Diceros bicornis minor: one gene and its partners. The main gene of each other region encodes a partner of the protein of the gene in region 3 in a complex. Links are inferred from orthologs where the notes say so. Each region holds a gene or a part of one and is shown on either strand. Other genes may lie near its edges. The genes, in order: EIF3D, EIF3F, EIF3J and EIF3B.

What was found.
Region 1: EIF3J (region 3) and EIF3D share a complex: the UniProt entries of both Homo sapiens proteins name them as parts of the eukaryotic translation initiation factor 3 (eIF-3) complex. The link is inferred for Diceros bicornis minor from reciprocal best matches to the Homo sapiens genes EIF3J and EIF3D.
Region 2: EIF3J (region 3) and EIF3F share a complex: the UniProt entries of both Homo sapiens proteins name them as parts of the eukaryotic translation initiation factor 3 (eIF-3) complex. The link is inferred for Diceros bicornis minor from reciprocal best matches to the Homo sapiens genes EIF3J and EIF3F.
Region 4: the proteins of EIF3J (region 3) and EIF3B are in contact, whole or in part, in an NMR structure (PDB 2KRB), measured with the Homo sapiens proteins. The link is inferred for Diceros bicornis minor from reciprocal best matches to the Homo sapiens genes EIF3J and EIF3B. Residues at the interface, in NP_003749.2 of Homo sapiens: Asp45, Glu46, Asp50, Asn51, Trp52, Asp53, Asp54, Asp55; in NP_001032360.1 of Homo sapiens: Lys202, Asn205, Val206, Ile207, Lys209, Ile210, Lys213, Asn249, Ala250, Asp251, Gly252, Tyr253, Lys254, Leu255, Phe261.

The regions. Positions count from the first base shown.
Region 1 is NC_080764.1:13,075,166-13,082,437, forward strand, and holds the start of EIF3D (eukaryotic translation initiation factor 3 subunit D), read left to right. Parts: upstream 1-4,265; 5' UTR 4,266-4,374; intron 4,375-4,441; exon of another isoform or gene 4,442-4,463; intron 4,464-6,059; 5' UTR 6,060-6,147; intron 6,148-7,272. UniProt on the Homo sapiens protein: mRNA cap-binding component of the eukaryotic translation initiation factor 3 (eIF-3) complex, a complex required for several steps in the initiation of protein synthesis of a specialized repertoire of mRNAs.
Region 2 is NC_080746.1:66,883,397-66,891,336, reverse strand, and holds the start of EIF3F (eukaryotic translation initiation factor 3 subunit F), read right to left. Parts: upstream 3,019-7,940; 5' UTR 3,004-3,018; coding exon 2,625-3,003; intron 1-2,624. UniProt on the Homo sapiens protein: Component of the eukaryotic translation initiation factor 3 (eIF-3) complex, which is required for several steps in the initiation of protein synthesis.
Region 3 is NC_080744.1:41,734,689-41,742,431, reverse strand, and holds the start of EIF3J (eukaryotic translation initiation factor 3 subunit J), read right to left. Parts: upstream 3,010-7,743; 5' UTR 2,715-3,009; coding exon 2,681-2,714; intron 2,595-2,680; coding exon 2,491-2,594; intron 1-2,490. UniProt on the Homo sapiens protein: Component of the eukaryotic translation initiation factor 3 (eIF-3) complex, which is required for several steps in the initiation of protein synthesis.
Region 4 is NC_080765.1:12,217,447-12,224,550, forward strand, and holds the start of EIF3B (eukaryotic translation initiation factor 3 subunit B), read right to left. Parts: upstream 3,005-7,104; 5' UTR 2,989-3,004; coding exon 2,514-2,988; intron 1-2,513.

The DNA of each region.
Region 1 (7,272 bases), on a different chromosome or scaffold from region 3:
GGGGAAATTCTGGAGCTGCCACTGAGATGCAGGATAGGAAGGGTCTGAGGAAATTAGAGAGCAGAGGCAAGAGACAGAGGAGGGAGGCCAGAAAGAGAACCTTCCAAATCTCAAGAAAGCCTCCTCCACCACCCTGTAAGGGTGGGAGGTTTTGAGGACACAAAGGTGCTCTCAGATCCTGGCTCGGCCACTTACTCCCTGGGCCCGGTACCCAACTCCCCTGAGCCTGCTTCTCCCCACCTGTGTTAATGGGAGGTCGATGCCTGTCTCCGAGAGCTCTTAGAAAGAATCAGAGAGATGATGATTTACGTAAAGCACTAGCACAGGGCCTGACATGTAGTAAGCACTCAATAAATGCTACTTCCCCTTTTTAAGGCATCGGAGCTTCCTATTAGAAAATGCGTTTGTCTTACTTGGAAGGGACAGGACAGGACAGAACAGCACAAAAGGCTGATGAGAAAAGAGCAGTAACGGTGCCTCTCTCCTCTAGACATGACATGAAGGGATGTACACGGAGGGCCTGGCGGGCACCTGTGGGTCCCCCTTTCTCAGCTTAGAAAATGCTTTGCAGTCACTCCCTCAGTTGGACGGGAAGCTTGTGAAGACAAGGATCTCACTCAATCATTACACCCACAGAGTCCTGCTGCAGAGGGTGGCCCTCAGTATGCAAGTTAAATAACGACCTCTGACAATGTTGATCCTTTTACTCATTGACTTCAACAGCAAAGGACTCTGTCACTTATGAACTGCTGTGCTGATGTTAGCCATTATTAGCAATAATGAAAAGTGAGTCATTTAATTGCCCAAAGACACTGTTTACGCTTCTCCAAACTGGAAAGATGCTGTGAAGTCTCCTTTTGAGAAAAGGGTACCTGCCCTCAAATGTACGCTTTTCTGGCATGAATGTTGAGTTTTTTATTTTACAGCCTCTAAAAGCAGTATCTGGAGGCCCCGGATTCACTAAGCGTTTCCTGGGTGCGCTCTGTGTGTCATGCACTGTGCTGGGCCACGGGGCTTCCTCCAGGAATAACGCAGCCCCGTGCTGGGGGAACCCAGGCAGGGGTAGGAGAGGTGGGGACACTGGTAACAGAAGCATAACAGAGGGCTCTGCCAAGTGTCGTGGACACACGGAGGAGAGAACTTGTCCTCAGAGGTCACTCATCCACCCAACAAACATCTTCCAAGCGCCCACTATGTGGTAAGCAGCACTCTAGGCGCTGGGGAACCAGCAGTGAACACGACATATAAGATCCCACCTCTCATGAGGCTTATGTTCTAACAAGGAGACAATAAATAAGTAAACAAGTCAACAGACAAGATTATTTTAGCAGAGGTAAACGTTAGTCATCTGGTGACACACTAACGGGATATGTGGAAGAAGAGGGAGCGAGGCGGCCTCCTGAGTCTGAACCCCCAGCTTCACCACACACTGTTGAACCCGGGGCACTTCCCCATGCCTCCATCTCCTCATCTGTAAAATGGGAAGAACAGCAGGCCCTGCCTCACGGGCTGTGGCGGGAACTGCAGGAGTTAACAGAAGTTCTTGGAATCGTATCAGGCACTCAGTGAGCAAGAGAGTGAATGAGGACAGCGCAAGGCCACTCAGAGGGGCGGTCAGGAAACGCCTGTTTGCTGAGCATGCAGGCTGGTGAAGATCTAGGGGACATGCATTCCAGGCACCAGAGAACAGCAGGCGAAAAGGTCTCAAGGCAGGAATGAGCCCGAGTATGACCCAGAAAGAGGAAGCTGCCATTCAGAAACTTGCAGACCACAGAACAGAGTATGGGCTTCTGTTCTCAGGATAAAGATAAGCCACTGAAAGGCTTCAAAGAGGGGAGGGAGGGAGGGAGTGCATGCTCTGATCTAATGTAAAGGACAGTCATTCCAGCTGCGCTTGGACAACGGACAGTGGGTTAGGCAGAAGGAGGCAGCAGGGGCGTCAGATGTGAGGAGGAAGGGAGGCGAGATCTCCACCCACACCCAGGGACCCACTACTGAGAACGAGACTGGACTCTCCAAACCCTTCTCCATCTGGGGTGGGCAGGGACGTCTGGGCCAAACCATGGGAAAGATGATTAAACTCTGACACGAGAGAGACTGCAGCAGATGGGCTGTGGGCCCACAGCAAAAAAACAAAGAAGAAGAAGAAAACAAAAGACATGATCCAAGCAATTCAGCAAAAATACATCTCTCTTTGCATTTTAGAACATATTACAATTTACTATTGATATTAATTATACTAACATTGAATATTTATGTACGTGCCAGGGTAATATGCTAAATTCATTTTCTCGTTTAATTCTCACAAAACCCCTACCCATTCATTCAACAATTCAACAAACATGTATTACCAGGCATTGTTCTAGGTAAGAGAGACAGAACCTCTATTCTTGTGGGGCTTACACTCTGCAAGAGAGAGACAGAGCCTAAACAAGGAAACAATATTTCAGAGTGATGAAAACTACAAAGAAAATGAAGCAAAGTAACAGGGTGCGGAAGGATGGAGGGAGGAGCAGCTGTTTTAGGAATGGTGGTCAGGGAAGATCTCTTGAGGGGATAACTCCTGAGCAGAGACACGGATCATGGGACCAAGCCAGGCATGGGTAAATCTGGGGAAGAGTGCACCACGAAGAAGACACAGCAAGTGCAGAGGGCCTGCTGAGACGGAAATGAGGCTGGTGTATTTGAGGCATAAAAAGAAGACCATGGTAGCTAGAGCAGAGTGAGTACAGAATGGCAGGATATAAAGTTGAAAGGTAGCCAGGGACCAGACAGCCCAAGGAAGACATTCACGTTTCACTCTAAGCACATAATGGGAAGCTGCTGCAAGCTTGTGAACAGATGGCCTTGACCACTATGTGGAGAAGGAACCCTAGAGGAACAAAAGTGCACACTGGGGGTCCAAGCACGAGGCTGGACATGGTGGGGGAAAGGGGTAGCATTCAAGATGTACTTTGAAAGTAGAATAAAGAGGACTTAGCGAAGGATTCAGTGTGGTGGAAAAGGGAAAAGGAACTACCAATGATGACTACAAGGTTTTGCACTGGGTACTGTTAACAAAAATTAGGAAAACTGGAAGATGAGCCGATTGGAAGAGAACGTGTGGAAACAGATGCTGCTATTAACATTTTCATTTTACAGATGAGGAAGCAGGTTTAGAGAGATGGAATAACCTGTGCAAGTTCACCCAACTGGTAAGTGGGATGACTAAGTATTCTCACGCACATTTATTTTTACCCTCACAGCACCCCCTTATTATTATCTCCAATTTACAGAAAAGGAAACTGAGGCTCAGAGATGTGAAGGTCACACAGCTGGAAAGCGGCAGAGCCGAGAGTACAGATCTGTCTAATAGCAGATATATTTCCCAATAAAGGAGCCTCGCTGGGATACTGACAAGGAAACTTAGGAGACCAGGCAGAAAAGGATCTGAGGTTTGAAGAAAATCACGCCCTCAGACTCTTCTTTCAACGTTTTGCAATTCCCCACTAAGACTCCAGGACAAACTCGAAGGTTCGGAGTTGCGGAAAGAACAACATTGTTGCCCACTGTAGAAAAGCGGTTCCTGAGTCGCCATTTCAGAATCACAGCTGTTAATTAAAATGCAGATTCCCGGGCTCCCGTTTAGACGTCTTGAAGCACAATCTATGGAGATGAGACTCGGAATCTGCATTTCCCAAATTAGCACTCCAGAAATCTTTGTCGTACAATAAAGTTTGAGAACTGTGGGAGTATGGTTTGAACCCTGGCAGCCACTTCCTAAACTAGCAGTCTGTACACGTAGGTCACTTCCCACCTCTGGGCCTCAGTTTCCTAAGCTGTCAGAGCAGGAGGAGGGAGGATAGCAACAAAATCTTCCCGAGACACTCGGCCGCCCCCTAGCGGTGAGGACCGAACCACACGATTGGGTGAAGAAGGCAAGAGCCCCGGGTCATTGTGGGATACAGAGGGGCCGGAGAGCCCCGTGAAGCATTGTGGGACACAGAGGGGCTGGCAGCCGCTCCCTGCCTCCAGCTTGGATTGCACGGCCGCCACGTTTCAACAATCCTGAACGCCCTCTCGGGGCGTCGCCGGATGCCCCGTGACGTAACTGTAAACACTCTTCTTGCGTCTTGGCGCCTCAGAGGCTAACGAGGACACCTCTCACAGAGCAGTGACGAATTTCCGGGTGCGTCTTCGCTTTACGACTCGTGTGTCCCGCCGTCGAACCCGGAGGAAGCTGGAGCGCAGTTTACGACAGCGCCGGTCGTGTTTACGGCGCCGGCCTCTGCGCGCGCACTTTTTCTCTTTTCCTGGTACATCGAGCTGTAGCCGGTGGCGAAGTCCCCGGCCCGAACCATCCCTCGCCATCTGGGCCGCCCGAGGCTGTTGCAGGTGAGCGGCGGGTTCTGTAAAGTTCCGCGGACCTCCAGGGCCGGCTTGGGCTGGGCCCGGCCTTCGGGGGCCCCCGGAAGAGACCTGCTGTACGTCCCCTTTTGCCAGTGCCTTCCCTCCGCTGGGCGGGGCAGGAATCCACTTTCGGGGGCCCCAAGCCCGGCGCGCAGCGGGATGCAGGGCACGGCCCTGGGGGTGAGGGCCCTGGCCCTAGGCTCCGCTTCTTGGCCACGGGCTGGGGGAATCTGATAATCTCATTTAAGCCCGCTGGCTCTCAGGGGCTTTTTAAAGTGGCCAAAGCGTTTCTGAGTTTCCGAGTGAGGTACTGGGGGTGCCAGGCTGAGCGATATTCGACCCTGCTCTGAGGAGTTCACTGTCCGAGGCTTCCTTCCCTTTTCTGTGAGATAGAAGGCTAGAAGGGAGTCGATTGATCTCCGATCTGAAACGCCCTCCCCCTAGGGATCGATGGTGTACGATCTGCAGTGGCCTTGACGATCTACACAATACGGTGGCCTGCTAGACCCAGGGCTCCTTCTCACTGCCCTGTCGGTGCCGCCCCATCCCGCCCCTGTAGCCGGTACAGCTGTCACTCCGATTTAACTGAACGGCTCCGTTTGTCCTGCTGGTTCCATTTCTCTCACTCTGTTTCCCATGTGCTGAAGCCAGGGGACTTACTCCCACTCCCTGGAGAAGTGCATGTCAAGCCTTGGGCCTCTTTCCTTCTTGAGCTGTGACAGAACAACTGAATGTTCAAAACAGCGTGTTTCGAGACTTCGTTGCTGTGTTATTAGGTGTGGTCTAGAACCCCAGGTATTTCAGGCTGCTGTCCAGCCATAATACGATGGGAAGAATGCTGGATTGATGGCAGACAACCCTGGAGATTAAATTACGTTTAAACGATGGGCAGATCAGCTGCTTGATTTGGCTGAGCTGCAAATTTTTGTCTCTAAAGTGGAGGTATGGGGGAGTTAGCGCTGTTAACACATCTAGTGTGGTGCCTGACACATAGCAGGAACTCAGTAAATACTTATTTAACGTGAACCGTTTTGAGATCACCACCCCTTCTCTCAGTCCTCTTCCTATAGTGTAACTTAGGTTCAGAGTGGGAGGATGATGCTCCCAGATTTGCTCCCTGTTGCTGTCACCCAAGTGTCACCTCTGTGGGAAGCCTTAGTCTCCCCATCATGGGACAATGAGGAGAGTTTACTAAGTTCAGTATACCTGAGCTCTTTGATGGCTCTCCAGCCTCCAGAAACATTCGTGTAATGAATTTTCCTCTGGGACCTCCCCTTCTGAGCATTTTCAGAGAGTTACGGTGGATGATAAATGCATAGGTTTTGCTAGGAACTGTCAGGCAAACATCTGTCTGGAGCCCCTGGTTTTTACTTTCCGGAGAGAAACTGTAGCATCATGCAGAGTGTGGACTCTGGGGCCAGATGGCTGGGTTCAAATTTTTCATCAGCTAGCACTTCAGTTCGACTTTGGGCAATTTCTTATCTTGTCTGTGCCTCAATTTTCTTATCTGGAAAGTAGGGATAATACTGGCCCCTGCCTCAGGATTGTTGGGAGGCTTTAATGAATTTATGCGTGGTGAGCACTAGGAACAATGCTTGGTACTCGTGGTATTTATGAACATTGGATGCATGGCCACTTTTGTGACCTAAGGTTTCTGGTGACCTCCTCAGCCTTCTGGCAGACCTTTTGCTTGGCTCTGTGTCCACGTGTTCTGCATAAGGATTTGCATTGATACAGAAAATTGGAAGAATAAGAAAAGTAAGTTGAATTTCAAGATAATATTTACAGATTCTATTTTTCTTAGCACTCTTGTGTGTAAATGTGTTTTTGCAAGTCTGAATAGTAATTGTGTGGCGTTTTACAGTGAAAGCATTTACCTGTGTGTTAACTAATAAGAGTTTCACAATGATTCTGTGATATATATAAAACAAGGATCGTATTTATTTTACAGATGAGGAGACTGAGGCTTAGGGAAGTTGGGTATTGTATGCCTTGGTGAAGGTGTTTCTGAGAACCAGAACGTGGTGATTACACTTGAAAAAAAGTTACTGCGTTTCATCAAATCTGTGAGGGCCGGCCCCATGGCTTAGCGGTTAAGTGCGTGCACTCCGCTGCTGGCGACCCGGGTTCGAATCCCGGGCGCGCACCGACGCACTGCTTCTCCAGCCATGCTGAGGCTGCGTCCCACATACAGCAACTAGAAGGATGTGCAACTATGACATACAACTATCTACTGGGGCTTTGGGGGAAAAAATAAATAAAAAAAAAAATTATAAAATCTGTGAGAGACCACCGAATTTAAGAATCACGTTATTTTATCTAACACTAAGAAAGAAACTGCCAGTTAAGATATGACACCCCATCAAACATAAGGTGCAGCCTCGTCTCAAAGATGTTACAGTGAAAAAAGTGGGTGTCATAGAGTTTATGAAATCTGGTAAGGCAGTTTTGTTTGCAGTCTTCTTCTTTTTTTTTTTTTTTTTTGAGGAAGATCGGCCCTGAGCTAACATCTGCCAATCCTCCTCTTTTTGCTGAGGAAGACTGGCCCTGGGCTAACATCCGTGCCCATCTTCCTCCACTTCATATGGGACGCCACCACAGCACCACAGCATTGTTTGCCAAGCGGTGCATTGGTGCGTGCCCGGGATCCAAACCGGCGAACCCCGGGCCACCATAGCAGAGCACGCGCACTTAACCACTTGTGCCACCAGGCTGGCCCCAGCAGTCTTCTAAATTTTAAGTATTCACAATATTATCTGCAAGAAAATATTGTTAGCGGTAGCACAACAGTTGAAGGCTCCATTTTGCGTGTTGCTTTTTGAGTTTTATCACTTATGTCTTCGCTTACCTCAAACAGAAACCCTTTTGTGCTTTAAGACCTTT
Region 2 (7,940 bases), on a different chromosome or scaffold from region 3:
CCAAACACCTACCTGTGAACCTTAAACATCAATGTCAGTCTCTTACCACAACCTTCTGTTCTTCCAGCTCTGATACCTTTACTCCCACTACATCTGTTTCTTGACCTCACTAAGACCACTAGTCCCTCGACCTCTCCATTTTTTCCTAATCTACTGGCACCTCCCACGCCAGGCTTCAAGTGCTTCCCTCTCCACCACAGACCACAGTGTTGCCTATAACTGTCAGTGTCTGCTTAATTCCACTTCACTATGGTTTTTGCCCGCTTAGCTGAAACTATGTCCCCAAACCCAATGGATTCACATTCTTTGACCTCTCATCAGCATTCAACAGACTTGAGCACTTCAAGCTCCTGAAAAAGTTAAGTCTTCTGAGTTTCCATGCCACTATGACACTCCTCTGTTACAGCATTTATCACATTATGTTCTAATTAGCTGCATATGAGTATATCTTCATCTTGAGTTTAAGGTTAGAGTTTGTTTTATCAAACTTTGAATTCTAAGTACCTAACAGTTTTATGGTACATAAAAGGTATCAGTGACTTCAATTAACCAAATGAAATATGTTTTATGAATTAATGTCTAACTGAGAAAATTTAAGTTCTTAGCAAGCAAATCTAGGAATGCTTTGTAAGCGTTCCTTTGCTTTCGTTAAGTTCCTGGTAAGCAGAATCTATGCTTCATTCTTCAGTAAGTACTGCCTCAATAACACCAAGCACTGTACCGTGATCCCAATCTGGAAGAGGATCTAAACATCTAGATCACAGTTGGTCTAACTAGGGTCACTGGCATATTTGGGGCACACAGCACAAACCTCGGTTGGAGAACTGTTTCTTTAATCAGCTCCAGTGAGTCTGGAAACTTTGAGGGTACAGCTGAAAGACTAAATTAGTATTTGTCTAGTGCCAAGCCAGTGATGCAAAAATCATCTGTTACAGAAGCTCAAAGCAGGGCAGTCACAGAGGTTAAGAATGGGGGTGAGGTGGGGGCCAGCCCAGTGGTGTAGCGGTTAAGCGTGCGTGCTCCGCTTCAGCGGCCCAGGGTTCGCAGGTTTGGATCCTGGGTGTGGACTGACGCACCGCTTGTCAAGCCATGCTGTGGTGGCGTCCCATATAAAGTAGAGGAAGATGGGCACGGATGTTAGCCCAGGGCCAGTCTTCCTCAGCAAAAAGAGGAGGATGGGCATCGGATGTTAGCTCAGGGCTGATCTGCCTTACAAAAAAGAAAACCAAAAATAACCAAGAATGGGGGTTGGGGCAGGGGTCTGGGATGGAGGACTGATACTGAACACTCATCCTGGGAACCTGGAAGATGAGTGGAACTTAAACAAATGAGGGTGAGCAGGCAAGGCACTTGTGGCAAAGAGAATACAGAGGCTTGGTGTGAGAGAAACCGTGGCAATGTTTGGAAGATAATGGATCATTTGAAGTTTCTGGAAAATGCTACACCCTCAAAGATAAAGAGAGGAAGAATGTATGCATGTGTTAGGGCTGGTATAGGCCTGATGTGGAGGACGGCAACCAACGGCGGTTTTACACTTAATGTGTGCCAGCACAGTTAGATGCTTTCTGTAATAACTTAGTCTTTGTGAGAACTAAGTCTAAAGTAGCCCCTGAAGGAACTAGACTTTAGGTAATCTGTCCCAAGGCACGTGGCTAATATGTGGTGGAGGCTGCCTACCAATTTGGTCCTTTTTGCAAAACATCAATTTTCTTCTAAGCTGGAAGGACTAGTACACGTTCAAGAGTTAGAAAGAGAAATAATGCATGGGAGTGGAGTGGATTCACAAAGGTGTTTAAAATCTGTAACTAAGATGGAGTGAAAATGAATTTGATGAGATCAGCAGTCCCCAAAGAAAGAGATATATCAGTAATTCCGTTTCAGCGCTTCTCAGTTTTACAAATTACTTTAAGATATGTATACTCCAAATTTGGAACTTCGACAGGGAAAAAGTTATTCTTCCATCTGAAGGTTAAACAATATCATAAACAGATAATACAATCGTTTGTGTCCAAACAGAGAATTAGAGACGGACTGGGGAAACAGGGTCTCCGGCATTAGGAACTAGTAAGGAACAGAGGATCAGGCTAAGATGTTTAGGAAAGCAGAATACTACTGAAATCCTAAATGGGATCCTGCCAAACAAATTTACTTGTTGAGAGGGTTATCTTTTTACAGATGCCCCACTCCTTTGCCAACCGGTTAGAAACTTCTTTGTAAACAACTGGAAAATAAAGACATTTAGTCACTAGATAAGGGGGGAAAACGTGGTCTCTGGGCTTAGGGAGCCAGAGGTTTTGACTTCCTAGTCTGCGCCTGAACTCATTCGCGGTGAACTGGCACTAATTACAACTGACGTGAAATGCTGTCGTGAAGATCAAAAATAAAACCTACGTCACTCGGCACACTTATAGATATTTATTCAATAACCAACTACTCTTTACGTATTTTATGTCGCCCAAAGTGACAGCAATCGGGCAGGAAAGTTCAAGTTCCTTGGGGAGTTAAGTCGCAGCAGGAAGGTGAGATAGAGAAACAGTAAGAGGTCAGTAGGAATGGGAAGAGAGGTGAGCAAGACAAAAGGCCGTGGGAGATAGAAGAGAACGTCGATTACCCTGACCACTCACCCAGCAGGGTCCCGATGACTCGGGCAGCGCCCTCGTTGCGTCGCTCGTAGCTGTCCACGATGGAGGCCAAAATGACGGGGTGCAGCCGGACCACGCGGCCGCCGGGGAAGGGGCCTGGGAGCGCAGGCCCGGGCAGCGACTGCGCCGGCGTCTGCGCGGGGGCTGGCGCTGAGGCCGGGGTCTGTCCCGGGGCCGCGGTCCCAGCCGCCGCCGCCGGGTCTGAGGATGAGGCTGGAGCCGGCGATGGAGCTGGAGCCGGCGGCGCAGCCGGAGCTGAGGGGGAGGCTGGGGCTGGGGCTGACGCCGGGGCTGGGGCCGCAGCTGGGGAAGGGGCTTGAGTGGCGGGAGAAGCACTCGCCGGTACTGTCGGTGTGGCCATCTTGTCGAGAGAGAAAGAGCCGGGAGCGGAAGGGAGCGAGTTAGGGAATATTAGGCACACGATAGGCTGAAAACGCACCACGTGAACTAGATCTTTGTGCCTATTGGTTACTGATGATGCTTCTCACGGCACTACAATTTCCTGCTCTTAGTTTGTGCTCTTTGACTTTGGTCCGATAGGCACTCAGTGAGAAACAAGCTAAATAGTTCCGAGTAAACTTGGGCCCGCGGTTGGAGAAGAGAAACAATTCTGTCTGTGCTGCCGCCGCCCCACGGAGCCGGAGAGCAGCGCAAGGGTCGCAATTCCTGTTCTCAGATTTCAGTGGGAAAATAGTGGATGTCAAAATGCCTTTTAAAGGACTTTGTTCTTGACAGCGTCATAAGGTGTCAGTATGGTGGTTTATTCATTCAACAATTTGAATCTGTGCCAGACGCTCTTTTAGGCGTTCGGGATATATCTGCTAATAAAACAAATATCGTTGCCCCAGAAGAGTTTACATTCTAACGGGGAGAGACAAATGAGTACATTATATAATAAGTTAGAAGGTGATAAGTGCTGTGAAAAAGGAAAAAGTAGCAGAGAATATGAGTGGACTTGAAGGAGGCGAAGGAGGCGGCCATTGTTGGGGGACGGGGAGAGCCTCCAGGTAGAGGGCACAGCTAAGGAGCAGGCCTGGTGTGCTTGAGGAGGCTATGGGGTGGCTGGAGTGTTAGGAGCAAGGCCCGGAGCAGCAAGAGATGGACCTCTACATAGGGGTCAGGGAGCAGATCATTAAAGACCTCCTAGGCCACAGTAAGGACTTTGGCTTTTAGTCTGAGTGAGATGGGGAGCCACTGCAGGGTTGTGAGCAGGGGAGAATCCTGATCTTAGTTTTAAAAGGATCACTCTGACTGCTTAGAGAAGAATAGAATGGAGGGGCGGTTATTGGAGAGAGGGAGGTGAGAGAGAAAGAGCAGGGAGACATGCATGGAGATTCCCAGGAAGCCTAAGTGAGAGGTGATGGTGGTTGGGACCAGGCCAGCGGCAGTGGAAGTGGTGAGAAGTGGGCAGATTACGGCCATACTTTGAGGGTAGAGACAACAGGATTTTCTGAGAAGTTGTATGCGAGGTGTGAAAAAGAGGAGTCAAGAATGACTCCAGTGTTTTGTGCTGAGCAACTAGTATCAAGAAGTTGCCATCAGTTGAGATAGTGAAAGCTACAAGTGGAGCAGGTTTTTGGGAAAAGATCCCAAGTTCATTGTTGGATGTGTCACCCTTGAGATCGGGCATCTCATTAGACATCCAAACAGAACTGTAGAGTGGTCAGGTAGAGATTCTAGTCTGTACTTTGGGAGACGATTAACTGAGTAATGCTCTGTAAAGCTCTTAGCATATGCCTGATATACAGCATTTGTTATTGTTAAGTGGTAGCTATTATTAGTACGATGTGATAGAAGGAGCTCTGAGCCTCACTCCTTGTGTAATTTTGGGCAATTGATAATTTTTTTCTGAGCCTCAGCTTCCTTCTTGGTATAATGGGGATGTTAACATTTGCCTGTCAGGAAACCTGTCAACTCCCTTACTTAGGTCAAATCCCAGCATCCAGCTGGCCAGGTCGGTGGTGAGGTTGAACTTCTTAGCCTTGACTCTTATGTCCAAGAACTGCTTTCTCCTTGGAGCTCCCTTCCATAATCAGAATTCACATGATACTGTTCCCCTGTTAGTGCACTGGGTAGACATTCTCTCTTTTAATTCCCCCAAACACAAGTGAACCGCCTATCAGAGGAGGATTGAATAATGACTCTTGGATTTGATGACCTGGATTTTTACCAGCACTAGTAGAGCAGTGTCAGTGGAATTGAGGGTGGAGTGGACACGGAAACCAGAATTCAGGTGTGAGAGAATGGCCAGCTTGAAATGATGGCAGTGAGTGCTGGCTACTCTCTCAAGGAAGTTGCCTGGGAAGGAAAGGAGACATTTAAGGCAGTAGCTGGGGGAACGGCAAGATTGAGAGGGGGACAGTTGTGGCTGGGAGAGTTTTTAGTATATTTTAAGCTAAGGGTAAGGATCTAGAGGAGAGAGAAAGATTGAATATACAAGTGTGAGCTAGGGAAACTGTCTAATGAAACAAGGCAGGAAGGAGGACCTGAATGGAGAAGCCTAGATGAGAGGGATGGTCTTGCACAGGATGGAGGATATGCTGCAGAGGCTGCCCTGGGCTGTGGCCTCCCTTGTGGGTTCCTAGTGGGGGTCTCCTTTAGCCAGGGCTGGTCCCGTGAGATCATCCTATGGAAAGAAGGCCAGAGGAGAGAATCACCCCTTAGGAATAGGTGTTGCCATCCCAAACTGACCATACACACCCTTGGAATGCCTATCCATGTGTTGATTTGAGTTGGATGTGGACACTTCACCACCAAGAACTTTGCCTTTATATAGATGGCCTAAAGACCTTTCTCTCTGGGAGGAAAGGAGAAAGGGATGGATGAAGAATCGGAGACACTTTGAATTGGGGAGAGAAGGGAAGTTGCAGGAGCTCTTGTCAATTGATATTTTTCTCAGGGAGGTGGAGGCAGAGTGATCTGCTGAGAATGGCAATGCAAGGGTGGGGTTCAGCTTTGGGACAATGGACAGCATTTGGAAGAGGGGCCAAGAGTGAGCCATCAAAGGCATTGATCAATTATGAGAGGGCCCAGCTGAGCCTGGAGACCTCAAGGATCTGGTCAGCTCTTGTATGTTTCTCCAGCCACATTGCTCAGGGGCAGGAGGAGAGAGATCTTTGGCATGGTCTTCCTAGGCATGCTGACTGGCCAGGACAAGGGAGTGCATACATCCAGGATGTTCGCTTTTCAATGGCTGACTGAGGGATCCAGGCAGGCTGAACCCTATAAATGAAACTCTGGGGCCCAGATTCATCAGGAAAGGGCAGAAGGCATGGGGAGAGAGAAAATGGGCTGTCCCCTTGTATTTGGAAAATGTGTTGTGTACATGGTGTATTGGTCAGAGTTCTGCAGAGGAACTGACAGGATAAATATATATATATATATATATATATAAATAAATAAGGAATTGGCTCACATGATTATGGAGGCTGAGAAGTCCCAAGATCTTTAGTCAGCAAGCTGGAGACCCAGGAGAGCCAATATATAGTTCTAGTCTGACGGACTAGAGGCAGGCTCAAGACCCAGGGAGAGCTGATGTTTCAGTTTGAGTCTGAAGGCTAGAAAAGACCGGTGTCCTGTTCAAGCAATCAGGCAGGAGGAGTTCCCTCTTATTCAAGGGAGGGTCAGCCCTTTTGTTCTCTTCAGGCCTTCAATTGATTGGATGAGGCCCACCCGTATTAGGGAGAGCAATCTGCTTTACTCAGTCTATCAATTTAAATGTTAAACTCATCCAAAAGCACCCTCATAGACACACTCAGAATACTGTTTGACCAAATATCTGGGGACCCTGCACCCCTGTCAAGTTGACACATAAAATTCACCGTCACATCTGGGTTTCTGACTGTCCTGGGGAACAAGCTTGATAGTCCTGCCTGAAAAGACCAGGGTCATAACTGTAGGCTCATGTTAAAGATGGGGCCTGCAGCTTGATAAACCCATCCCACCTCCTCAACGATGGTTGGAGTGAAGGGAGCCCCAGCTACAGCTGCAACTATAGGAGGACCACAAGGGGGAGCCCCAGGCTCTCTTGACTCTGTAGCAACTGGAACTTGAGACTTAACTCAGCCTTCCCTGATGGGGCAGAGCTGTGCAGGAACCATGGCCCCGTCCTTCTGCAGACCGGGCCTGGCACAGGCAGGCTGGTGGGCTGCCTCCCACAGTTTGTCTCTGCTCGTCGCCAGCACCTAAGAACATTAGAAGAGGTATTCCCTTTAAAATCAGGAACAAGACAAGCATGGCTGCTATCACCACTTTAATTCAACATTTAACCAGAGTCCCAGCCAGCACAGTCCGAAAAAGGAAAACAATCAAAGGCATAAGGATTAGGAATGAGAAAGTAAAAGCCATTTTCTGCAAATAATGGTTACCTGCATAGAAAACCCAAAAGAATTCAATTCATAGATAAATTATTAAAACAATAGGTGGATAGATCTGACAGATGAACAAGCTATTGCTCTTCTATGCATCAACAATAAAAAATTAGAAAATGTCATTATAAGTACACCATTTACAAAAGCAACAAAAATATAAACAACAAAATATGTGCAAGACCCATACATAGAAAATTATAAAACTTTACAGAAATGCATTAAATAAGACCTAAATAAATTATAATCCATGATCACAAATAGGAAAACTTAATATCACCAAGACGTCAATTCACCTCTAATAAACCTTTAGAGTCAATGCAATCTAAATCCGTCAAATTTTACAAACGTGTTCTAAAACGTATAGGAAAAAGCAAAGGGCCGAGAATAGCCAACACGGTTTTCATGAAAAAGATGGCAGAATGGGAGGGAGATCCTGTGCTATCAAACATTGAGACATATCCTAAAACTGTAGTAATTAAAACATAATATTGGACCTGCTCTACCAGATTTCAAGACCTTTTAAAACTGGAGATATAGTAATTAGTAAATCATTGTATTGGTGCAGAATAGATGAAATGGAACAACAATAAAAAAGAGCCAGAAACTGTACTAGGCATTTATGACACTTTGATATATAAAAAAGTATCATGGCAGATTAATGGGGAAAGGAAGGACAATTCAAAAAATAGAATTAAAAAATTCCTGCTAGACTAAGAGGTTAGAACAATACCTTAAACACATTAAAATATACAGAGGTAGATGTCTATCTCTCTGACATTCAAATAGAAAGTATTTCTTAAATAAAACCCCAAAAGCCCTAACTGTAAAAGACAGCACTGACAAAGTTGGCTACACTAAAACTAGGATTGGTTTTTCAAAAGACAGCTTAAAGAAAATAATAAAGATTTTCTAAAGAAAAATGTAGAAA
Region 3 (7,743 bases):
CACAAATATAGAAAATGTCAAGGCAACAATATAAACCCAGGTCTGCCTGATTCCCAAGTCCAGGAATCAAACTACTCCATAGCTACCGTATCTTGGGAATCTTGGAGAAACTCAAAAGAAAGAAACCAACATTTCAACTTGGAAATAAAACAGACAGTTCAGCTTTCTTCTCCAAGATCGACGTCAAAGTTTATGTAAAAGAAATAAGCCGGGGCCGGCCCGGTGGCATAGCAGTTAAGTGTGCGCACTCTGCTTCGACAGCCCGGCCCAGGGTTTGCAGGTTCGGATCCCGGGCACGCACCAACGCACCGCTTGTCAAGCCATGCTGAGGCAGCATCCCATATAAAGTCGAAGATGAGCACAGATGTTAGCCCAGGGCCAGTCTTCCTCAGCAAAAAAAGAGGACGATTGGCATTGGATGTTAGCTCAGGGCTGATCTTCCTCACCAAAAAACAAAAAAAGAAAGAAGCTATTAGTGGGGCTGGCCCCGTGGCTTAGCTGTGTGCGCGCTCCAGGTTTGGATCCCTGGCGCGAACCGATGCACCGCTTGTCAGGCCATGCTGAGGCGGCGTCCTACATACAGCAACTAGAAGGATGTGCAACTATGACATACAGCTATCTACTGGGGCTTTGGGGAGAAAAAGGGGAAAAAAGGAGGACTGGCAACAGATGTTAACTCAGGGCTGGTCTTCCTCAGCAAAAAGAGGAGGATTGGCATGGATGTTAGCTCAGGGCTGATGTTCCTCACAAAAAAAAAAAGAAGAAAAGAAATAAGCTATTTGTATAAAAGAAACTCGGCACTGAAAGGGTGACTGGACAAGATGATCTTTATGGTCCCTTAAAACTTGTAAATCTCCAAAATTAGTTCCAAGTGGTCAGAATTATATTTATCAGGATTGACACCATTTAGATTCAATAACCTCAGGCAGGCTACTTCATGATCAGTCTAGACTGATCCATTCAAACTTCATTTTCTGGTACTTCTTTCCTGATTTCTCTAATCTTTTCTTCTCATTTGCCAACTTGTTCCCAATTTTCATAACAGATGTCTTAAATGCTACATCCAGTATGCACAGAAAAAGTGAATGGACAAATCTGAACTAAAGGCTCAAAACAGAAAATTCACTACAATGTGGGAAGGTGACATATCTTGTAATGAGTCTGACAACACAATCCATTCCCATGTCTACACAACAAGTAAATAAAGCATCTAAGTATCCTCACAATAGTACTACTCATTTATTAACCCCAAAGGGTGCAAAGCTCACTTCATTCCTGTACCTGGCTGTTTGATAAACTGGACATCCACGTCATCAGACTCAAGACAAAACAGTAAAATCCAAACAAAGGTAGTATTAAGTTCATAGTGATTAGCATAAATTTTTTCAACCCAAGCAGAAGGAACTGTAGGGTTCTCAGTATGTGCTGAAGGGTGGAAGTTAGGAGATTAAAACATTCACCAAATGAATCAAAACCACAAAAAAAACATTTCCAATCCATACAAAACTTTATCTACACAAATACAGTATAAGACTTGGAGAACTTTGTCAATAAGAGTCTTAACATTCTGGGCTTGAGACTTCTGTAGCTACTTCAAAGGGAAAAAAAAAAAACAAGGAATGCAGTAGTCACGATGTCATCTGAAGCCATATGCGGAGGCCCCCCAAGAGTTTTCAAAACACAAACGAGGAAGGTATCTGGTTCACACCTACAAGCAATAGGAAAAAATAAACACTGCCCTGCCTCGTCCACTCCAACCACTAAATCTTCAATATTTCTTTGGACGTCACTCGTGTTTAGACGAATAACTCACTCTGTCAACTCCCCATTTTTCAGGTTTCTGACCATTAACTGTGGGCTATCTCAGGACTCAGTTTATCCTTTTACCACAGGGTCGGGGAAGGAAGGCTAAAACTTATTTCACTTTATTGTTTTTATTTGTCTTTTATGAAAAATAGATTGAAATTAAACAATATTTCACTCATCTAACTGCTTGAACAAATTCTACAAATGGGCCTTCGGAGACATAAATTAGTTACTGGCCCTGGGGAGACCTGAGCTCGAAGAGGCAGGTGGGTTGCAAGACTTTCCATATGGGACGAGCCATGCGGCTCAATCCCCAACTTCCCAGTCTCACCCCGGGGAGCGGCTCCGGGCCGCGAAGTCTGCACGTGGACCGGCCCAGACGCTGCTGTCATCTCCTGTCGCCAGTTGGGGGGTGGAATCCAGGCCGGAGCGCGGACCCTCAAACAAGGGCTGGGGCCCGGCCGCCGCCCTCGCCAAGGAAGTCCGAGGCAACGCTGCCCGTCTCCGGTCCGTACGGCCGGCGAGCGGAGGGGAAGGGGGCACCGCCAGGCCCTACGATCGCGCCTGGAGGCCCGGGCGGCGCCCCTGGGCCCAGAGTCCATCAGCCCGCCCGTCGGCAGGCAACCCCGCCCGCGACGGCGCCAGTCCGCTCCCGCGCTGCCCGGAGCCCCGGCCCGCACCCACCTTGACGTCCTCGTCCTCGTCCTCGCCTTCCCAGCGGTCCCCGCCGGCGGTGCCGCCGCCCCCCACTTTCCGCACCGGGTCTTCCACGGAGAACGTGTCTGCGTCTACGGAAGAGAGCGAGCCGCGTTAGTCCCTGTCTCGGCATGGTGCCAGCGCCGGCCCGGGCCCTGCCCCCGGAACTTTTGCTCACCCCAGGAGTCGGAGTCCCCCGCCGCAGCCGCCATCTCGAGCCGGGCGTGAGCGTGTGTGAGGAGTGAGCGAGAAGAGTTAGCGCGGCGGAGGTGAGTCACTGGATTTGCTCTCGTTGGCTGGCGCGGGGCAGGCTGGGACCGTGGCTGACTACGCCGGGACCCAGGCCCCGCCCCCTCTGGTGGCGGCGGGGACGCGCGCGCAGGCGGGAAGGGGGCGTGGAATGCGGTCAGTGGGGCGTGGGTAGCGCGGGCTGGCGAGGCGAGCGTCCGGTACCCCACGACGCGGAACAGTCCTGGTGGATAGTGGGGCGGGGAGAGATGAAGAGGCCGGAGACCGCCACCCTAGCCTGGGCCCCGGGGAGGAAACGTGAGTGCGGGGAACTTAGCAGGGCGGTACCTTGCCTGGCGCTTGGCCCTCGCCTGTTCTCGCCATCCTTCCCCTACCAAGCCCAGCCCCGCCCCGACTGGTCGGGTGCGCCCTCCCTCTGGTCACTTTGATCGCCGCCTGTGGCTGCTTGTGGAGACCCCCAGCCTCTTCACGCCGCGCTGAGAAGCGGACTCTGAACGCCACGGCCGCCTCTGGGGGCGGTGGACGGGCCTCGCTGACCCCCCGAGGGCCCGCTCGCGCGCTGGGGGAGGAGGGATCCCTCGGGAAGCCGGTGTGCGCGGGGCGCCCGGGAAGGAGCGAGTGGAGAGAGCCGCGTTCCTGGCACTCTTCCCAGCCAGGGTGCTTGGAGTCAGCTCCTGGCACGTTTGCGTCGAGTTAGTCACGAAGGGATCGAAGAGAGCCCCAGTGCTCGAGGATTTTCCTGTCCTGTGAGCCTCATGAGGCCAGTACATGATTCATTATTTCGTAGAATAATTTTGAAACTCAGTCTGCGCTAGGCATAAACTCTAGCCTTGTCTTCAAGGAGCGCATAATCAAGTAACATAGATAGACGTGTAAACAAGTTTCGACACAGTGTGATGGCTGCAACAAAAAGAAACATTGTGAGGTTAATGTAAAAAGGTAACAATAACGGCGGGGGGAGCGGGGATGCATGAAAGTCTTCTTGAGGTAAGCGCTGCGGAAATTGGAGTTTGAAAGACCAAGTGAAGTTTGCTCAAGTGCACTTCCAATAGAAAGAACGCATATGGTCCCTCACCTGACTGAGTGAGACAATCGCAGATAAGCTGAGCAGGTAAACTGATCATAATAAAGGGCTTAAGATAGGCTAAGCTGCACTCTGCCTTTTGGGCCACTGGTCTTTGCTGCAGAGGGTTTAAGAGGAGAGCAGTTTCACATGTTTTATTGTCGAATACATACTTGGTACAACATTCAAGTTATAAAAAGCTGTATACAGTGTTCAGCTATTCTATTCTTTCTAGTGGCAACCATTGTTCCCCATTTCTTGTGTATCTTTTCAGAGAGTCTACAAATACACATTTCGTAAAGATGGGCTTTTAAGAGAGATTCTACAGCCCAATTACTTAAAGTTTGTCCCTCCATCAGCAGCAACACCTTGGGAGCTTGTTAGAAATGCAGAATCTCAGGCCCCATCCCAGACCTACTGAATCAGAATCTGCCTTTTAACAAGATCTTCAGATGAGACTTTGTGCATTAAAGTGTGAGAGGCAATGATATACAGGCATCCATTTAGAAAGATGGATTGGAAGGAGGCAAGACAGAAGGCAGGGAAAGACTGGAATATAAGGTCCTTAGGGCACAATCTTTTATTCACAGTGTATCTCCAGTATTTGGCACAGTATCTAATACATAAGTAAATATTTTATGAATTAAATGAGAAGAATACAAGCCTAAAAGTAAGGCAAGGGCGACAGGAAAGAAGGAACAAATCTGAGAAATATTTAAGGGTCAAAATCAACAGAATTTAGTGACTATGATGGTTAATTTTATGTGCCAACTTAGCTAGGCCATCTACCCAGTTTTTGGTCAATCACTATTCTAGTTGTTGCTGCGAATGTATTTGTTGTATGTGATTAACAGTTAAATCAGTAGACTTTGAGTAAAGCAGATTACCCTCCCTAATGTGGCTAGGTCTCATCTAATCAGTTGAAGGCCTTAAGAAAACATAATGAGGAAAAAGGAATTCTACCACCAGACTGCCTTTGGACTCTGCAGCATCAGCTCTCCCCTGGGTCTCCAGCCTGCTGGCCTGCCCTGCAGATTTTGGACTTGCCAGCTCCCGCAATCCTGCAAGCCAGTTCCTTAAAATAAACCTTTTTCTGTGTATATATACACATCCTATTGGTTCTTTTTCTCTGGATAACCCTGACTGCTACAGTGATTGACTGGATATGGAGGAGGAGGGGAAGGGAGAAGTACATAGAAGGTAATGCCTTTGGAGATTGAGTGAGTGGTGGTGACGCCCATCTATAGATGCTCAAGTCAAAAACCTGTGAGCTTTCCTTGCTTTCTTCCTCTCTCTCACCCCCTAAATTCAATCCATCACCAAGTTCTGTGAATTACTACCAATATTAATCTTGAGTTCATTTAATTACCCCCCTGACTCTTGCTACCACCTCAATCCAAGCTTTCTCTAGACTGTTCTAGTATAATAACCTCCCAATTGGTTTTCCTGCTTCCACTCTTCCCTCTCCACAATCTATTCACTACGCACCAGGCAGTTTTTTTAATTTAAAAATGTAAATCAGGGGCCAGCCCACTGGTGTAGTGGTTAAGTTTGCGTGCTCTGCTTCGGTGGTCTGGGGTTCATGGGTTCGGATTCCAGGTGTGGACCTATGCACAGCTCATTAAGCCATGCTATGGCGGCATCCCACATACAAAAAATAGAAGAAGATTGGCACACATGTTAGCTCAGGGACAATCTTCCTCAAGCAAAAAGAGGAAGACTGGCAATAGATGTTAGCTCAGGTCCCATCTCCCTCACCAAAAAAAAAAATTGTAAATCAGATCGTCACACCCCTTTCTCTCAGTTGAAATCCCTTTAGTGGCTTCTTGTTATTTTTAGGGTAAAATCCAACTCCTTACTATAGCTTACAAGGCCCTGTATAGTCTGACTCCTGACTCCTGACTCCTGCCTCCTCCCACCAAGCCCCTTATGCCATTCTCTTTCATTAACCTCAGTTGCTCCTGGCCCTCAGGTAGAGGGCCTACTAAGCCTTTCCCTATTTTTGGACTTTGCACTTGCTGTTCTTTCTGCCTACAGTGCTCTTCCACACCTCTTTGTATGGTTGGCTTTTCTTCCTCCTTCAAATCAAAGTTCATATGTTACCTTTGCAAAAAGCTCTTTCTTCCCTGATCTCCCTCCTGCAAGGGGCCTCCCCTAGTGACTCTATCTCGTCACTCTGTTTTTGTCATAGCATTTATCACAATCTCTAATGACCTTGTTTATTTAATGTCTGTTTGAAGCACAGGGACCTTGTGTTCTTGACTACTGTACTCCCAGTGTCTGCCATGTAGTAAATGCTCAATAAATGTTTCTGAAAATGACTGAATGGTGCCTCTCATCATAATAAGGAATAAGGATAAATTAAGTTTTGGCCACTCAGATCTTGATATTCCTATGGGACATCCAAATGGAAATGTCTAGGACACATTTGGAACTGAAGAAATCTGGGCTCCAGATAGAAGATTTGGAGTCATCTGATTATGGTGGTGGATGGAATCATGTGGAAGTAGAGGCCATCTGAAGATAGGAAAGAATGAGAAGAAACCTTGAAGGACATAACATTTAAGCAGCAGCCAGAGGAAAAAGGTATAGAAAGGATAGTAAGTTTTTAAAAAAATTTTGTATCCTTCCAATTCTACCACTTTTTTTGGTAAAAAATATAAATTTTAAAATACTATGAATTATGGTATATTTGAAAATTCACTGTTGGAAGTCAAGAGACCTGGGTTCTTGTGATTCAAATGATCAGATTATATTGAACTGAACATTGGGCACTTCTGGTGAGGGGTGGGGAAAGCTCACAATAATTCCTTTTCTGGGGCCTGCCCCGTGGCTTAGTGGTTAAGTGCATGCACTCCACTACTGGCGGCCCGGGTTCGGATCCTCGGTGCACACCAACGCACCGCTTCTCCGGCCATGCTGAGGCCACGTCCTACATACAGCAACTAGAAGGATGTGCAACTATGACATACAACTATCCACTGGGGCTTTGGGGAGAAAAAGGGAAAAAAAGGAGGAGGATTGGCAATAGATGTTAGCTCAGGGCTGGTCTTCCTCAGCAAAAAGAGGAGGATTGGCATGGATGTTAGCTCAGGGCTGATCTTCCTCACAAAAAAAAAAAATTGTCCATAACAAAGGTATTTAAAAATAATAATAATTCCTTTTCTGAAAATTGTCCTAGTATACAAGAGTAGGTGGACTCCCTAGGGTCATGTTTGCTCCATTACCATAGCTGATTTGGGAAGGGGGTCAGAAGCAGATTAACTGAAGCTAATGAAGCTTTAGCTTGAGGGACCCTCATTGCATGGGCCCCTTCCATTCTTCAAGAAAGCCCTCCAAATTGTATATGCTTCAAACCATATAAAATCTGAATCTGCCCCTAGATGGGATGTAAGTAACCCAGTGGAACCACCAGATTCTCTGATGGTCTCCAAAGATGGCCCTTTAGTGAGCAGTACTCAACTCCTTATGTAGTCTCTTCCCCTTGAGTCTGGGCTAGCCTTGTGATTCATTTTTGACCAGTAGAATAGGACAGAAATGACATCTAAAGCTAGGCCACAACAAGCCTTGCAGCTTCCACCTGCACCTTTTGGAATGCTCACTCTGGTGGAAGTCAGCCACCATTTAGGAAGTCTTACTATCATGCTGATTCAAGCTAACTATATGGAGAGGCTGTTTAGGGAGAGAGAAATACTCAGCCAGCCGCTGGCTGTTTCAGATTATCCCAGCAGAGATAACAGATATAGGAGTGAAGAAGCCATCTTGGACATCCAGCCTAGTTGAGCCTTCAAATGATTCCATCTCCAACTACTTTTTTGATGCAATCACAGAAGACCCCAAGCCAAGAGTTGCCCAGCTGAGCCCACTCAACCCACAGATCTGTGAGAGATGTCATCTTAAGCCTCTTAAGTTTTGAGGTGAATTGTTAT
Region 4 (7,104 bases), on a different chromosome or scaffold from region 3:
TAATGTTTAATGAGCCAAAACAGAAGACATTTAGTTAAAACTTTTATCATATATCAGTTTGACGGAGCACCAAAGGCAGTTGAAAAACTGAAAGGATGACTAATTGAGATGCAACTGCGCGACAGTGCTTGTTACTGTACACAGGGCACGATCTGCTCACTGAGAGACAAAAGCCAATCGTCAAGAGGCAAGATGGTGGCAGAGAAAGGGTAGTTTATAAGAGCTTGCTAGCAAGGGAAAAGATGGCTGACTAATGTCTCAAAGCACCATCTTACAGAACAAAGACTACAGGCCAGTTATAGAGAGGGCTGGTCTCCAGGTGTGGGAGGCATCTGGTCTCATGGTAGGGACATCCCTCTGATCTCTAGGCGGGGCATCTGGTCTCAGGGTGGGGGCATCCATCTGGTCTTAGTCCCTGGCAGTCTTTTGTTTTACTGGATATGCATCAGAGACTGGAGCAACGCCCTGTACCCTAATCTTTCAGCTGTCACTGATGATGGCTATCAGCAGAGTCTCTGCCCAGGGATCACCACATTTCTAAGGAACTCAAAAGAACAAAGTTATCAATTTATAGCAGCTGGGAGGGGCCATAAAATCCAGAGTTAGTCAGAGATCATTCAAAGTTACAATATGGCTTCCCTTATGTCAACCTCGTGTTGAGCTGGTATCAGTGCTGATCTGTCTCAAAGAATGAGGCAAGATGACTTTGTGGTGCTTATATTGCACCCACGAGAGGGCTTTTCAGGAGACTCAGTCCATTTTCAAAAGAACCCTTACTGCCTTCTGCAGTGCTCTCTGACCCCCTACTGGGCAATTCTCACCCCACAATTTGTACTTGAGCTACTGACCATAACCAAGTAGCCTCAAGAAAACTGACAGCTGGCCTGCTCAGTTTTAGTTCCTTAGGACCAGGAGCTTCACAGCTCACTCTGGTAAAAATATGAGGATCACAAAGGCTCCCAAAGGCCCTCCCAGCAGTCACCTAGCCTGGCTGGCCTATGCTCATTGCAGCATCCTCTGACTGCCACACACTCCAATTCTGGAAATAATTCACATGCTAGAAATCTTGTATGAATTAGATGTGCTCAAATAATGCTTTAAAAAAATCAATCACAGAGTAAATACTGAAGAGCTCAAAATAGGCTTTAACATCAAAACTTCGATTTTACAATACAATATAAATTGCTGCGGTAAAAAAGAATGCTGGTCTGGGCAGCAGGATGGGGAGGGGGTGTCCCAGCGACACCGCCTCCCTGTGAGTTCTCAGCAACCTACCTCGCCATAAGGAACACATTTCCTCTTGGCTGAGGGGCTTCCAGTCCGTGGCTCTCAAGTCTTCACTAGCTTGTGGAGCCTTTCCTGCTTTTCATGCTAAAATATCTTTTGTCTTACGAAATAATGTACGCTAACAGCGACAGTAACAGGTAGCTCTTTAAAATTATGTTTAAATTAAAAGTTGACAACTCTGTGTTGGTTCCCTAAGTTTTCTTTCTCATTTTACTTGAGATTCTTTATAATTCAGACTCAACTTCACTGTGATCAGACACAATATCTCAAAAACACATCTACATCTCGATATTGTAACATCTTATTTTCTTGGTGTATTACTGGCTATTTCATTGATGTTTTATTTATTTTTCCTATTTTACTACAACAGTCAATACACAAAGGAACCCACTGATGTGCTCCCAGCTTGCAGAATTCAAATAGCTAAAAAAAAAACATACACGAGTAAAAACAAATGAGATTAGCTATCACCAAAAGTCACTTTAGAAGACAGGCTTTCTCAGGCAGGAAGCAGAGGTACTGCCTATAAATTGAATCAATGTAGAAAGGAAGGCAAAGCAAGCTACAGTCGACAACACTAAACCCTGAGATCTGCCAACACAAGAATGGCGTCTGCCTACACTGAGGAAAAGGGATAACCAAACAGGTGGCTGGCAGAGTCGGCCTGGCACTGTCCTACTAAGAACTCTCTGGAAGAAAACGCTTCCGTGGGGCAGCGGCAAAGGAACCAGCTCTGCCATAACCTATTCTGAGGATAGCGTCCCATCTGCCCCTAAGAAGCCGGCACTAAGTCACTTTCAGACATTTGACAGGTGTGGCTGTCATTCGAGGCATCCAGGCCTGTTGAGGGAAAACTGTCACCCGAGACTGTGCAGCACTGGAGTGTCCTGTTTGCTCGACCCTAATAGCCACACCACTGCCCACACGGCCACAGCTCCTGCGTGCACGCCGTCCGCCGTCGCCACTCCCCGAATTCCCGGTTAGAGTGCAAATAACTGGCTCCCCAAGCAGTCTCCATCCTGTCCCCTCTTTTCTTTTTGGAGAGAAATGAAAGCACCCAGGCTGTCACAGGACACCTTTCCTACGTGAGGGACGACGAGTGGAGAATGGGGACCTCCATGCTGAGTTCCACGGGGCAAAGCCCCTGGTGGGCTCCAAGATGCGCGGTGACCCGTTCCGCGTTCGGGGCCTCGGGAAGCTCCGCGCAGACAGCCACACCGCCTCACCTTCCTCGCTCACGTCGTCCACAAAGTCCTCGGGGTCGCTGAAGGAAGGCTCGTCCGCGCCGGCGTCCTCCGCCGCCCCGCCCTGCTCCCCGCCCGCCCCCTCGGACCCGGCCTCGGCCGCCGCGTCCTGGGCCTGCTCCCCCGGCGCCTCGCCCGCGGCCGGGACGGGGGCGGGGGGCTCCTCGAGCGGCGCCGCAGACGACCCGAGAGCCGCGCCGGCCGCTTCCTCCCCGTCGGCTGCGGGCTCGGCTCGCACGTCAGGCCCCAGCCCAGTCTCAACCTCCGCCGCTGCGTCCTCGCCGCCCGCCGCCTCCTGCGCGCCGGCCCCCGCGGGCCGCGGCGAGTCCTCCCCCGGCGGCGGCTCGGAGGCCGGCTGCTGCTGCTGCTGCTGCTGCTGCTGCTGCTGCTGCTGCTGCCCGGGCTCGGCCCGCTGCTCGCCCGCCTCGGTCGCGGCCACGTTCTCCGCGTCCTGCATGGCCCGCCGCTACCACCTCACCTCGCCCCGCCGCGCCGCGCTTCCGACTCTCCCAGGTCGCACTGCGCGCCGACCGCGGGCCATGTGCGTGCGCGGGGCGTTCCATCAGACTCGGAGCGGGGGTGGGCCGCCCACGCCCTGACTCCTGACAGCGTGGCCAGAGGAACAAAAGGGCAGCATTGTGTCCACTGATGATTACGATAACGCTCGTGTGAGAAGCACGTGCGAAACTCCAATCACCAAAGCGCCTCTGGTGTAACTACAAACTCATGGGGAGCTCGAGCTCCCCCATTTGTGGGAGCGGGTGGTTCCGTCCAACATGGCAGCCAGGCACCTCCTTCTCCCGTCGGGCGCTGCGGCGAAGGACTTAACTATTGGTGACGCCGCAGGGAAGGAGCAGAAGGTATCTTGGTATACGGAACTGCAGGAAAATATGTAACTCAAAAAGTAATACTACAAGAAACTGTAAGTTCAACCAACTATTTTTATTGTGATATCTTTAGCCTCTCATCAGTTTAGCTTACATTACTAGGTCCCCCCTTCACGTGTCGGTGTTTAGACTCGTCCACTGAGTGGGCACATGGATGGACGCTTCCAAAACATAAAAGGAATTCTCGGCCGTTGAGCCGGAGATGGACAACACGACTAGGAAGACGATTGCCTGGCACGATACGAAAATGAATGAGAGCTGCTTTAATCACTTACGCCCAAGCCCACCGTGGCGGCTGTAATTCCACCTCTCCCCGTTCTCATGGTCGCCGTGGTTCGGCCCACGGAGGCCTCCGCTGGAGCGAGCGCGGGTCACGTGGGGGCGGGGCGGAGCCAGCCGCGGGGGCGGGGCCGGCGCTGGAGGGTGGGTTTCGCTCTGAAAAGGGTGTTCTGTGTTTGTAGCTCCTATTTTGGTGGCAGCCGGTGGTTGTGGTTCTGGGGGAGGGGAATGGGGAATTAGTGTTTAATGAGTGCAGAGTTTCAGTTTGGGAAGATGAACGAATTCTGGAGATGGATGGTGGAGATGGTGCACAACAGTGTGGATGTGCTTAATGCTGCTGCACTGCACACTGAAAAATGGCTAACATGGTAAGTTTAATGTCATGTATATTTTACCACAATTGAAAGAGAGAAAAAAAAAAAGAACTAGGGTTCTTAGGTTGCCTAATACTAGGTGTGAATCCTCCTCATCTTACTTTTCAGCCGTGTAACTTTGGGCAAGTCTCCTGGCATCTCTGCCTCAGTTATCCCATCTGTAAAATGAGGGGTAACTCATTTTGTGTGCGTGGCCTGTGGACCGCCTTCACCAAGGCAAACTGATTTCTCCTAGAAGTCAAAGTTATGCTCTTGATTTCTAGTTGTATCTGCAGTTTTCATAGATCATTGGGCTATGCTACCCCTTCTCTTCTAGAAGGTGCTAAAGGTGACAAATCAATGAACAAGAAGCAAATATTCACAGAAAAGCTGGAAAACAGGGGCTGGCCTGGTGGCATAGTAGTTAAGTTCGGGCGCTTCCCTGCGGCAGCCTGGGGTTTGCAGGTTCAGATCCTGAGTGCAGACCTGCACACTTCTCATGAAGCCCCATGCTGTGGCAGCGTCCCATATACAAAATAGAGGAAGATGGGCACAGATGTTAGAGCAGGGCCAATCTTCCTCACAAAAAAAAAAAAAGCTGGAAAATAGTTGACCTTCATTGGCCAGCTGCATGTTTCTTAGGAAAGACTTTTGTGGCATGCATGTGTTGCATAGAGTAGCCACTCATTACTATTTCCCAGTGAGGGGAAAATTGTATCCTTTAATGCAGGTGAAATTGTGTTGTGCTCATGATGCAAAAAAAAGAAACGTACATTTTCAAAATATATTTCATAGTGTTCTAGGGAGAGGACCAAGATCAGCAGTTCCGCTATCCTCAAATGCCTGAGAAGCACTGTAATTGATACTCAAATTATAAGTGCCTAAGTGGGAGGTGCTCTGCATTGGGGATACAGTGGTGAGTACAGCATGTATGATTGTTGCCGTCTTAGAATTGCAGTGTAGCAGGGGCAACATTCAGGAATCAAAGCATCACAGATGTGAGTGTAAAAGTGCATCTGTGATAGGTTCATAAATTCTTTGACACGCTTTCTTTCAAAAGGGGAAGCCAAACCCTGCTCCTCTGAAGTGTGGGTGGACTTAGTCACTGGCTTCTCATGAATAGCTTGTGGCAGAAGTGATGCTGTGTACCTTCCAAGTCCAGGTCCTAAAAATGATATGCTTGGGGCCGGCCCGGTGGCGCAAGCAGTTCGGTGCGCGTGCTCCGCTGCGGCGGCCCGGGGTTCGCCGGCTCGGATCCCAGGCGTGCACCGACGCACTGCTTGTTGAGCCATGCTGTGGCGGCATCCCATATAAAGTAGAGGAACATGGGCACAGATGTTAGCTCAGGGCCAGTCTTCCTCAGAAAAAAGAGGAGGATTGGCATCAGATGTTAGCTCAGGGCTGATCTTCCTCACAAAAAATAAAATAAAATAAAATAAAAAATAAAAATGATATGCTTGCTCCCGGTTCACTCTCTCTCGAATCACTGGGTCTGAAAGAAGCTGGCCACCTTGTCCTGAGGACACTCATGCAGTGTGTGGAGGCGCCCCAGTGTGGAGGAACTGAGCTCCCCAGACAGCATCAGCACCGAGCTGCCAGACATATGAAATGGAAATGGATCCTCCAGCCCCAGTCAAGCCTTCAGATGGAGGCAGTGCCAGCCCGTGTCTTGAGAGAGGCCTCAGGAGAAACCAAACCTGCCAACACCTTGATCTCAAACTCCCAGCCTCCAGAACTGTGAGAGAGAAATTTCTGTTGTTTAAGCTGCCCGGTCTGTGGTATTTTTTTTACAGCAGCCTGAGCTAACTAATAGCGTAAGTAAAATACATAGAAAAAGGCCTAGAAGGATACACGCTGAACTGAAAAAAGTGTTTGATGAAGGTAAGTAGTATTGGTAGTGTTGGTCAAAAAAAATGTTAATTATAGATTCTAGGTGGTAGATTTACTCTTCACTGTAAAATTCTCTCAACTTTTGTGTATGTTTGAAAATTTTTATAATAAATTGTTGAGGGGGAAGGACTCAGGAGCCAGCTTTAAGAGGCCCCCCACTGCAACAATTTGAGCCTCAAAAAGAATAAAAAACTGCATATGATTGACATAAATAAAGTATGTTTAAATCCATTAGTTCATAATGCTGTTAAAAAAAAAACATTCATCACTGGTGACTCTTGCTGGGACATTATCTCATTGTTGTAAAGACAAAAGACTCTAGCAAAAAATAAGTAATCTTGCCTCTCTTATTTTACCTTATATTTTAAGGTAACCAAATAGTTGATTAGGGATTGTCCTTCTTTATTGAAGAATTCTAGCTAATACATGCAGAAGGATCAATAAAATTGGAGAGGCAGCATTCTGCAACCCTTGTGAAATAAAGATCTAAGCAATGGTCCTGCAACCGGTGGATGAGAGGTTGATAGGGAACCGTGTGATGGAGGGAGCAGAATGACACCACCTGAGATTAAGGCTGTAAATTTCCCTCTACATGCTACTTTAGTTACATCCCACAAATTATAATACGTTGTATTTTCTGTTGCAAGTGTTTTCTAACTTCCATTATGATTTTTTCTCAGACCCATGGATTATTTAGAAATGTGTTATTAATTTCCAGATGTTTGAGGATTTTCCAGACATGTTTCCAAAATTGCTTTCTAGTTGAAGTCTGTTGTGACTGAAACATACCTTTGTATGATTTCAATCCTTTTTAAAATGTATTGAGATTTGTTTCATGGCTAAGAGTGTGATCTACCTGGGTGCACGTTCCTTGTACACTTGACAAATGTGCTGCTGCTGTTGGGTGAAGTGTTCAATAAATGTCACTTGGGTCAAGTGGATTGAGAGCTTTGTTCAAGTCTTCTGAAACCTTACTGATTTTCTGTCCACTTGTTCTGTCAGTTGGCTGAGAGAGCAATGTTGGAATCGCCGGTTCTGATGATGGATTTGTGTATTTCTACTTTCAGTTTTATCACTTTTTTCATGTTCTTTGAAGTTCTATAACAGGTGCATACACATTTAGGGTTGCTTTGTCTTTTTGATGAATCGGCTGCCTTAGCATTT